2 linked regions of the Elephas maximus indicus genome follow. The protein of the gene in region 1 interacts with the protein of each later gene in a biochemical or structural test. Links are inferred from orthologs where the notes say so. Each region holds a gene or a part of one and is shown on either strand. Other genes may lie near its edges.

Evidence for each region.
Region 2: of the proteins of RRAD (region 1) and CAMK2G, one has a biochemical effect on the other in vitro, tested with the Homo sapiens proteins (2 studies listed by BioGRID, with this or other methods). The link is inferred for Elephas maximus indicus from reciprocal best matches to the Homo sapiens genes RRAD and CAMK2G.

Annotation. Positions count from the first base shown.
Region 1 is NC_064839.1:33,376,318-33,380,218, forward strand, and holds the start of RRAD (GTP-binding protein RAD), read right to left. Parts: upstream 2,577-3,901; 5' UTR 2,444-2,576; intron 2,239-2,443; 5' UTR 2,224-2,238; coding exon 1,860-2,223; intron 907-1,859; coding exon 833-906; intron 705-832; coding exon 500-704; intron 1-499. UniProt on the Homo sapiens protein: May regulate basal voltage-dependent L-type Ca(2+) currents and be required for beta-adrenergic augmentation of Ca(2+) influx in cardiomyocytes, thereby regulating increases in heart rate and contractile force.
Region 2 is NC_064834.1:13,728,051-13,731,951, reverse strand, and holds the start of CAMK2G (calcium/calmodulin-dependent protein kinase type II subunit gamma), read right to left. Parts: upstream 2,870-3,901; 5' UTR 2,767-2,869; coding exon 2,702-2,766; intron 1,361-2,701; coding exon 1,266-1,360; intron 1-1,265.

The sequences.
Region 1 (3,901 bases):
TTGTAATGAATGACCCGGTTGAATTGGGGGTGGAGGGGTCCGATATCAACAAGTCACTGCTAGATTTCTGAGGTATTCAGTCCTGGAGCCCACAGAGGAGGGTGCTGAGCCCAAGACGAGAGGGTTCTCCTCAGGGGGAAGCATACCCCAAGACTGGCCCAGGCCTGGAACCCTAGGCTCTGACCTCATGGTCTGGTTCCCTGTACTCCCCTCACCCTTCACCAGTCAGGCCAGGGCCAAAGGGGGTAAGAGAGGAGGGCCCCGAGGCACCCTAACTCAGCACCCAACAGTATCCACCTTCCCTGTCACACTCGGCCTTCCTCAGCCCAGTCTCTGGGAGTCCTGCAGGTGGGCAGCAGGTGTCCCTCCCACCCCGAGCTTTCTTCCTGGATGTTTTTAGCCACTAATGATCCCCAGGGACTTGAGCTGAGCCAAGACTGAGTGGACCACAGCCCAGCCAGGATCTCCCTCCCTCTCCAACACTCCCCTCCCTGCTCACCATCCACGGAGACCTCACGAGAGCGCACCAGGTCGCTCTTATTCCCCACGAGGATGATGGGCACATCATCTGTCTGCCGTGCCCGTCGCAGCTGGACCCGCAGCTCTGAGGCCTTCTCGAAGCTGCCCTTGTCCGTCACGGAATACACGATGACATACGCATCCCCCATGGCCATGCAGTGGCCAGGCAGCCAGCAGTCCCCATCCTGGGAAACACAAATACAGTCCTGCTCAGCAGTCCCCAGGTCCTAGCCACAAGTCTGTCTCTCCCAGCAGGCCTTTACCCCCAGCCCACCTCTCCAGCCCCTGCCCTGGGTCTCAGTCTCCATCCTACCTGATCCCAAATGTCATAGACCAGGAGGGAGGCCTCTTCTCCATCCACCATGATGGAGCGATCATACGTGTGCCCTAAGCAGAAGACCAGTAGCCAGGTTACCTGCTGGATGCCCAAAGTCCCCAGTTCCAGGCTCCCTGTTTTTGTTTGTTTTTTTTATTTACTGTGCTTTAAGTGAAAGTTTACAAAGTCAGTCTCATACAAAAAGTTAAACACACCTTGCAATGTGCTCTTAGCTGCTCTCCCCCTAATGAGACAGCACAGCCCTCCTCTCCACCCTGTATTCCCCCTGTCTTTTATTCAACCAGCTCCTGTCCCCCTCTTCCTTCCCATCTCCCCTCCACACAGGAGTTGCCCACATAGTCTCATGTGTCTACTTGCAGACTCCCTGTTTTGGTCACATCCTCCAGCTCCTCCCCAGAGCCCTCAGCTCTCCTCCCCACTTAGAGATGGCTGCCATGTGTCTCCTGATCCTGGGCAATTCATGGGGGCGGGTAGACAGAAGCGACAGGGCCGGGAAGTGGGGGATGGGGGCATAGTGTGCTCGTCCTCCACCGAGACACCCTCCCCCCTAAGCTACCAATGTCCTGAGTTTCAGTGCTCCCTACCCTCCTGCTGTCTGGGCCCGGGAGTGGCTCTGACCACAGTGGCTTAAGTTAGAATTGAGAATGTCACATTCCTCTGGGAGCCCTAAGTGACCAAGGGCTCCTCCCCTAGGAATTAATTCCCTCTGCCTGAATTCCTGCTGACCCCGGCTCGGGGAATGTCCTGTCCCAACCCTTACCCCCATCCCACAGAGGTCATATGGGAGCACTGCACCCTTTACTCTGGGAATTTCTTCTGCTATGAATGGCTTGAAGTTCCTTCTCCCTTACTTTCCCCATCTGTGAAATGGGTGGGGAGAGGCATGATTCTGAAAGCCCTTTGGACTCCCACGTATTTGTCACTTTTAGTCCAGGTCCCCAGTCCCCTGGCTCCCAGACCTGCCCCTGGGATTTCCCCTTCCCTGACCTGCCCAGTCCTTTACCTGCGGCCTCGGCCTCAGGTCCCTCCTCTACGCCACCAAAGATGCGGGCCAGAGAGCTCTTGCCCACGCCAGGCGCCCCCAGCAGCAGCACCTTGTACACGCTCTCGTCTGAGTCGCTGCCCCCCGAGCTGAGGGAGTCAGAGGAGCCCTCTGGCCAGTTCAGCCTTGGACCCTGGGTCTCGGTCCCGGCCGCCGCTAGGGCGCCTGGAGACAGCGCCGCCTGCAGGTCGCGCTCATCCACCGGCATGCTTCGGCGGTGCAGAGGGGGCGCCGGGCCCCAGGGTGTGCTGCCTCGACGGCGCTCGCGCTCCTGGCCTCCGCCGCGGCTCCCGCCTGCTCCGCTGCCGCCGCCATTCAGGGTCATTGCGTCCGGCGCTTTCTGGGGGGGGGGGGGGGGGCCGGGAACCAGGATGGCCGCGTGAGTCGCGGTGTCATTGGGGTGGAAGGCCTGACCCGGGACGCACTGGCCCAACCCAGCCGTGAGGGATCTTGCGCCCCGACCCGTGGCCCATCCCAGCCTGGCCCATCCATCCGAAATCCAGAAGGAGCGGCCACCGCTCCCCCGGCTTCTGCGGGACACTCACCCAGTCGCACACGCGGTCAGGACTCGGACCTGGGCTCGGACACAACCCGCTCGCAGCCCCGGACTCGGACACTCCGACCCTTGCCGCTGCGGCCGCCGCCTTCTCAGCTGCGCTAGGTCCCAGCTCCAGCGCCGGCTATTTAAGCCTCCGCCCTACCCCGCCCTCGCCCTCGCCCCCGGTCCGCACTCATGCGGGGGCGGACGGGGGCTGACGTGTCTATCCACCCCCACCCCAGGGGAATCCCCACCCTCGGTCTAGGACCTCAAACCCACCAAGACCCCGCCCCCCAACCAGGGGTGAGCTGCTGCCTAGCAATACTAGGGCCCCGCAGACGCTGGGGTCTGAGTGGGGTGGGGGAAAGGAGGGAGTGAGGAAGGGGAGGAGAAAGGGGAAGGAGGAAGTGTGTAAATGGAACAGGGAGGCTGTGAAGATTTGAGTGGGGGGGGAAGCACCGTGTGGTGGAGAGACTATGGGACCAGCCAAGGGCGGTAACTCCCCACTGGGGAAGATTTAGGCCTGGTCCTTTAAGAGTGAATTCTCCCTTCCCCCTCCCCCAAGCCTGGCCTGTTTCCCAAGTCCTAGGGGAGTGGAAGAGTTGAGTTACGGGCTGAAGACTTCACCCTTCTCTGCCCATGACACCCACTGCCCGCCCACCCAGACCTAAAGTAGGGGTCCTAAATCCTGGCATCTAGCCTCAACACCTGTCTTCCCACCCCCTCCTCCTCCTGAGGAATTGAAGATTGTCCCTGCTGAGCTTACCCTTGGGGTGAGGGTTGGTGTTACCCCATGAGCCCCAGGGGGCCCTTGGAGGGCTATTTGGAGGGGATGAGGGAGGTCACCTGGCAGTGTGTTGCAGGTAGAGGTACCTGCTTGAGTTCTGAGGAAGGGACACCAGTGAAGGGAAAGGATGAACTCAGTCTCCACCCCACCCCCACGACCCCCCAAGGAGCTTCCTGCAACTCTGCTAAAAATACCTGGCCCTGCCCCTGGTCGTTCTGCTTCTGGGCTGGAGGTTGCCCAGAGTTGGGGAAATCCAGGGAGGCAGGAGCCAGATGCCAACAGGAGCAGATAGGGCTGAGGCTGGACCAGGGTCAGGGCTAGATCCAGCCACTTCAGTCTTCAATGACTCCCTCCTTCCCTCTAGCTCCAGGCTGGGTCCGCTGTCCAGGGCCTGGAGGTTCAGACTCTCACCCAGGAGAGGCATAGTGGCAGAGTGTGGTCAAGGTGGAGGGGCCGGGGGGAGGGTGTCTCAGCTACCACTTGGTGCCACCACTGCCCAGAGCTCACTCCCCTTAGATCTAGGGTAGGGACTGGGACCATGAGCTGGGGCTGGGGGCGGGGGGGGGATGCAATGGGGAGGCTTGGTTTTTAATCCTGGCTCTGCCTCCAGCCTGCTGGTTTTCTCTCCCTCCCAGCCTCCAGATGCCCACGACCTATTCCCCCCTGTTCATCTCTGAG
Region 2 (3,901 bases), on another chromosome or scaffold:
CAACCATCGCCTCAGACTCAAGGTACCCAGAAAGAAAATAAACAAATAAGTCAACTCTTACAGCCATGTATGGGGCTGGGTGGGAAACGGCAAGGCAAGCCCTGCTGGTGGGGACAGAGAGAGAGCCTCCCAGCCAGGTGGTAGACACAGCCCTGATAAACAAGCTCGCTGTCAGCTCTGTGGAATTTTATGGTTTCTCAGAGGGCCTGGGGACATCTACTACATCCCCTTCCCCAGACGCCTGCGTCATTACTGGTCACAGTCCACGTCTTCCCCAGGGCATCTATCCTGGCTCCTAATGTATTAATGGCATCCCATTGTCCAGCCTTAATTCCTTTCTCTGAATCTCAAACTTTTGCCCCCAGCTGCACCCTGCAGCCCTTGGCAACCTGACCCATTCATGGACTTCCTTACTCACCAGACCTGTTCACAGAGTACTTCACACACTGCTGGGTCTACACCTATCAGATGAGGTGAGTTTGGCAAGCAACCAATAAGAGGTTCAGGGAGTGTACTTTCTAGGTGTGAAAAACAGGACCTGACCCTCCTGGCCTGGTAAGTCCCCGCTCCTCATAACCAGAGCCTTGCTGCTCCCACCAGACCAAGCTGTTGGGCTTTTCAGACCATGAGGCATCACCCTCCACCCAGGACAGACTGCATCTGCTGCCACACCACCAACTTTGTAATTTGATCAAAAAAAGCAATCAAGTTCATCTGGCAGGATTTGTTCCCAAGAAGCCCTCGCCAGTAGCAGCCTCCCCTGATGTTTACTGATTTCCTTCCCTTGGGAGTCTGTTCCACCGCCTGGTGGGCACGGGGAGGCTGGATTTGTCAGAGCTGCTCACTTACTGCACTTCCATCCTAAGTCACCACTGCGGCCTAGGGATTAGGATAGGCCTGGCGTGGCTACCACGGCCCCAAAGAGGTAGGCTCCAACTGCCCCAAATCAAGAGCTCGCCATTCTGTGCCATCTACCATCCTCCACATCCCTCACCTCCCCCCTAAGGACCAAACTCCCTTAAGCGTTTGGGGACCACTCCTCCCTGCAGCCATCTACATCTCTTACATCCCCTTCATTCTTTTCTATTTGAGCACTTCCAGTTCCCAGTGCCACTCCTTGTCTGGCTCCAAAATCCACCCACCCTGAAATTCCAACTCTCTTCCAAGTAGTAAAACACATAACCCCCAACTCCTGGAGCATCTTCAGATGAAGCCAAGGCCCTTGGAGCCACCCCCAGGGAGAGACCAAGATGGGGAACACTCACCCCGTGCAGATAACTTCTTGGTATTGATGATTTTTGCTGCGTATTCCTGCGTGGAGGTTTTCTTCACACACCTGCGGACCACAGAGAAAGCACCCCTGGAGGGAAAAGGGGGAAAGAACTGGGACACAGCGCAGGGCAGAGTGACACAGGCGCAACCGTGGTCTGAGGAAGCCATGCTCCCATCGCCAGACACCCCCCCCCCCCCGCCAGGGTAGTGACCACCACCCTCTGACATCAGGCAGAAGGATGTGGCCACTGCATGACCCTGAACAGGCCAGGGGTGGAGTGCCACCCCACTGCCACCCCCTCATCCAGCCCCTGGGAAAAGCCAGGACAGGCTGCTCATCAGGAGTTGGTGGGCGATGCTTTCAAACACACACCTGCTGCATCTCACTGATAGCCCTGCGGACGGCCAAGAGACCAGGAGAGGAAAGGGAACAGAGAGCCCCTGCCCTTCCTCAGTAGGAACAGATGGTGGTAGGGGAAGAGAGATGAGAAAGAGGGCATACCCCCCTGAGAGAAATCTCCCTCAGCCACGGACGAGGGTGAAGAAAGTGAGGCTCAAACCCCCACAACGGGCTTCAACCAACTGCATCCCGGTTCAACCGACAGCAGGGAAGGAGACCATACAGTTTTGGGGCTCAGGCACCGGCGGCTCCCCTTCCCCACAGTATTTTCCTCTACGTCCCCCCCTCCCCCGCCCCTCCATGAGAGTTCGCACTCTCCAGCTCTGGAAGCGTCCAGGGGGCGGGCAGGGCGGGGGCTGCAGTGGCCGGGCTCGGCGCCGCGGGGGGGGGGGGCCGGGGCTGCTGCAGCGGCCAGCTCAGTGCGGAGGGGAGGGGGATGCTGCGGCTGCGGCGCGCGGCGCCCGGGACCACTGCAGGGATGGGGGGAGGGGACGGGGTGCTGCAGCACTGCCCAGCAGCCGGGCTGGGATCCTGGAAGCGGCACGAGCGGGGGGCGGGGCCGGCACCAAACATCCCCCCCGCACCCGGGCACCGCAGCGAGGTTGGAGCTGCAGGGCTGGGGAGGGTCTTGAGCGTCAGGCGCGTGGGACACGGGAACAGGATGCAGAGTGCGCTCCTGAGCAGAGTGAGGAGGGGGCGACAAGCAGGTGGGGTCCGGAGGGGGGCCCCTAAGGGTGCAGGAGGGGCGGGGCTGGAGGGCGCCGAGAGCGGTCCAGAGGCTGCAGTCCCCGCGGCAACGCGGGGTGCAGCAGCTTGGGCAGCTGCTGCAGGGCGCGGAGGGGGCTGCGCGGCAGGGAGCCGGGGGCGAGGGCGCCCCGGAGGCGGCGGGCGGGAAAAGCTGGGGGTGGGGCGGGCCGAGGGGGCGCTGCAGCGGCCGGTGCAGGGCCGGGGGGCGGGGCGAGGAGCCGCAGAGCGCCCGGGCGGCGGGGGCCGGGTGGGGGGCCGCGGCGGGGGGCGCGCGGGCCGTACTTGCCGAGCTCCTCGAAGAGCTGGTAGTCGTCGGTGAAGCGGGTGCAGGTGGCAGTGGTGGCCATGCTGGCGGGCGGACGCGGCGCCGCAGCCCGCGCCGACGTCGGTGCACAGTCACCGCCGCCCGGCCGAGGGAGCGAGAGGAGGAGACGGGGCTGAGCCCGGCAGCACCGCGAGACTTTACCGGGGAGAGCGAGGAGGGAGGGACACCCCCGCGCCGGCCCGCCCGCCCCGCCCCCAGCCCGCCGGCCCCCCTCCCGGCCCCGGACCGCCTCCGGGGAGGGGCCTCCGCCGCCGGCCCCGCCTCGCCCCGGGAGCCGCCCGGGCCCGGCCCGGCGCGCCGGAGAGCTCCGAGGTGGGGGTCCGGGTCCCCGGCCACCCGCCCGGGCGGAGGGAACTGGAAGGTTCGCGACCTGTGGGCTCGTCCTGAGCGAAAACTGCAAGGGCTCGGGACTGTGCGCGCGAGGGTGGCATGCGTTGGGGGGTAGGTGGCTAGGTCAACGAGATCTCCTGAGCGGGACCCACACACGGGGTCCTAAGCCCCCAGCCTGGCTCACAGGATGAGCAGAAGGGGCCAAGGTTAAAGAGCCTGTGTCAAGCTGCGCACGTGGGAGGCGCCCCCAGACTGTGGAGATCCAGCTCCCAGCAGCCTTCCCTTGGGGAGCTGACAGTCTAGACTTGAGCAAGCTTCAGGGCCATTATTGGAAGAAACTCTTCAGGCACGGTTTGATCAGGGAGACCAGGCCAGGGGCAAGGGTGCAGGTGGAACTGTGCTTCTCTGCCCTCCAACCTTAGAGATGAGAGAACGTTCTCTCTCAGGCCCATAATAAAAGAAATGAAGTGGGAGAGATTATAAAAGGATTTGTGCATTGGAACTCGAAGAGCAAGTACAAGGAAGGAGAAAGCATCCTCATTTTCTTGCAGAGCAAGCTGTACTTTCATTTTATGTCACTTACCACATTTTGTAATTATATATTCATTTATTTTTTTCTTTTACCACATTTTGTAATTATATATTCATTGATATGAGGGGCAGCAGCGCTAGAACGTAGCTGTTGTAAGCTTTAACTTTGCAGTCAGACTGCTTGACTTAGAACTCTGGGCTGCTCACTGACCAGTTGTGTGACCTAAGGCAAGTCACTTAATCTTCTGCCTCAGTTGCCTTATCTGAAAGCTGGGAATAATCTTATGTACCTCATA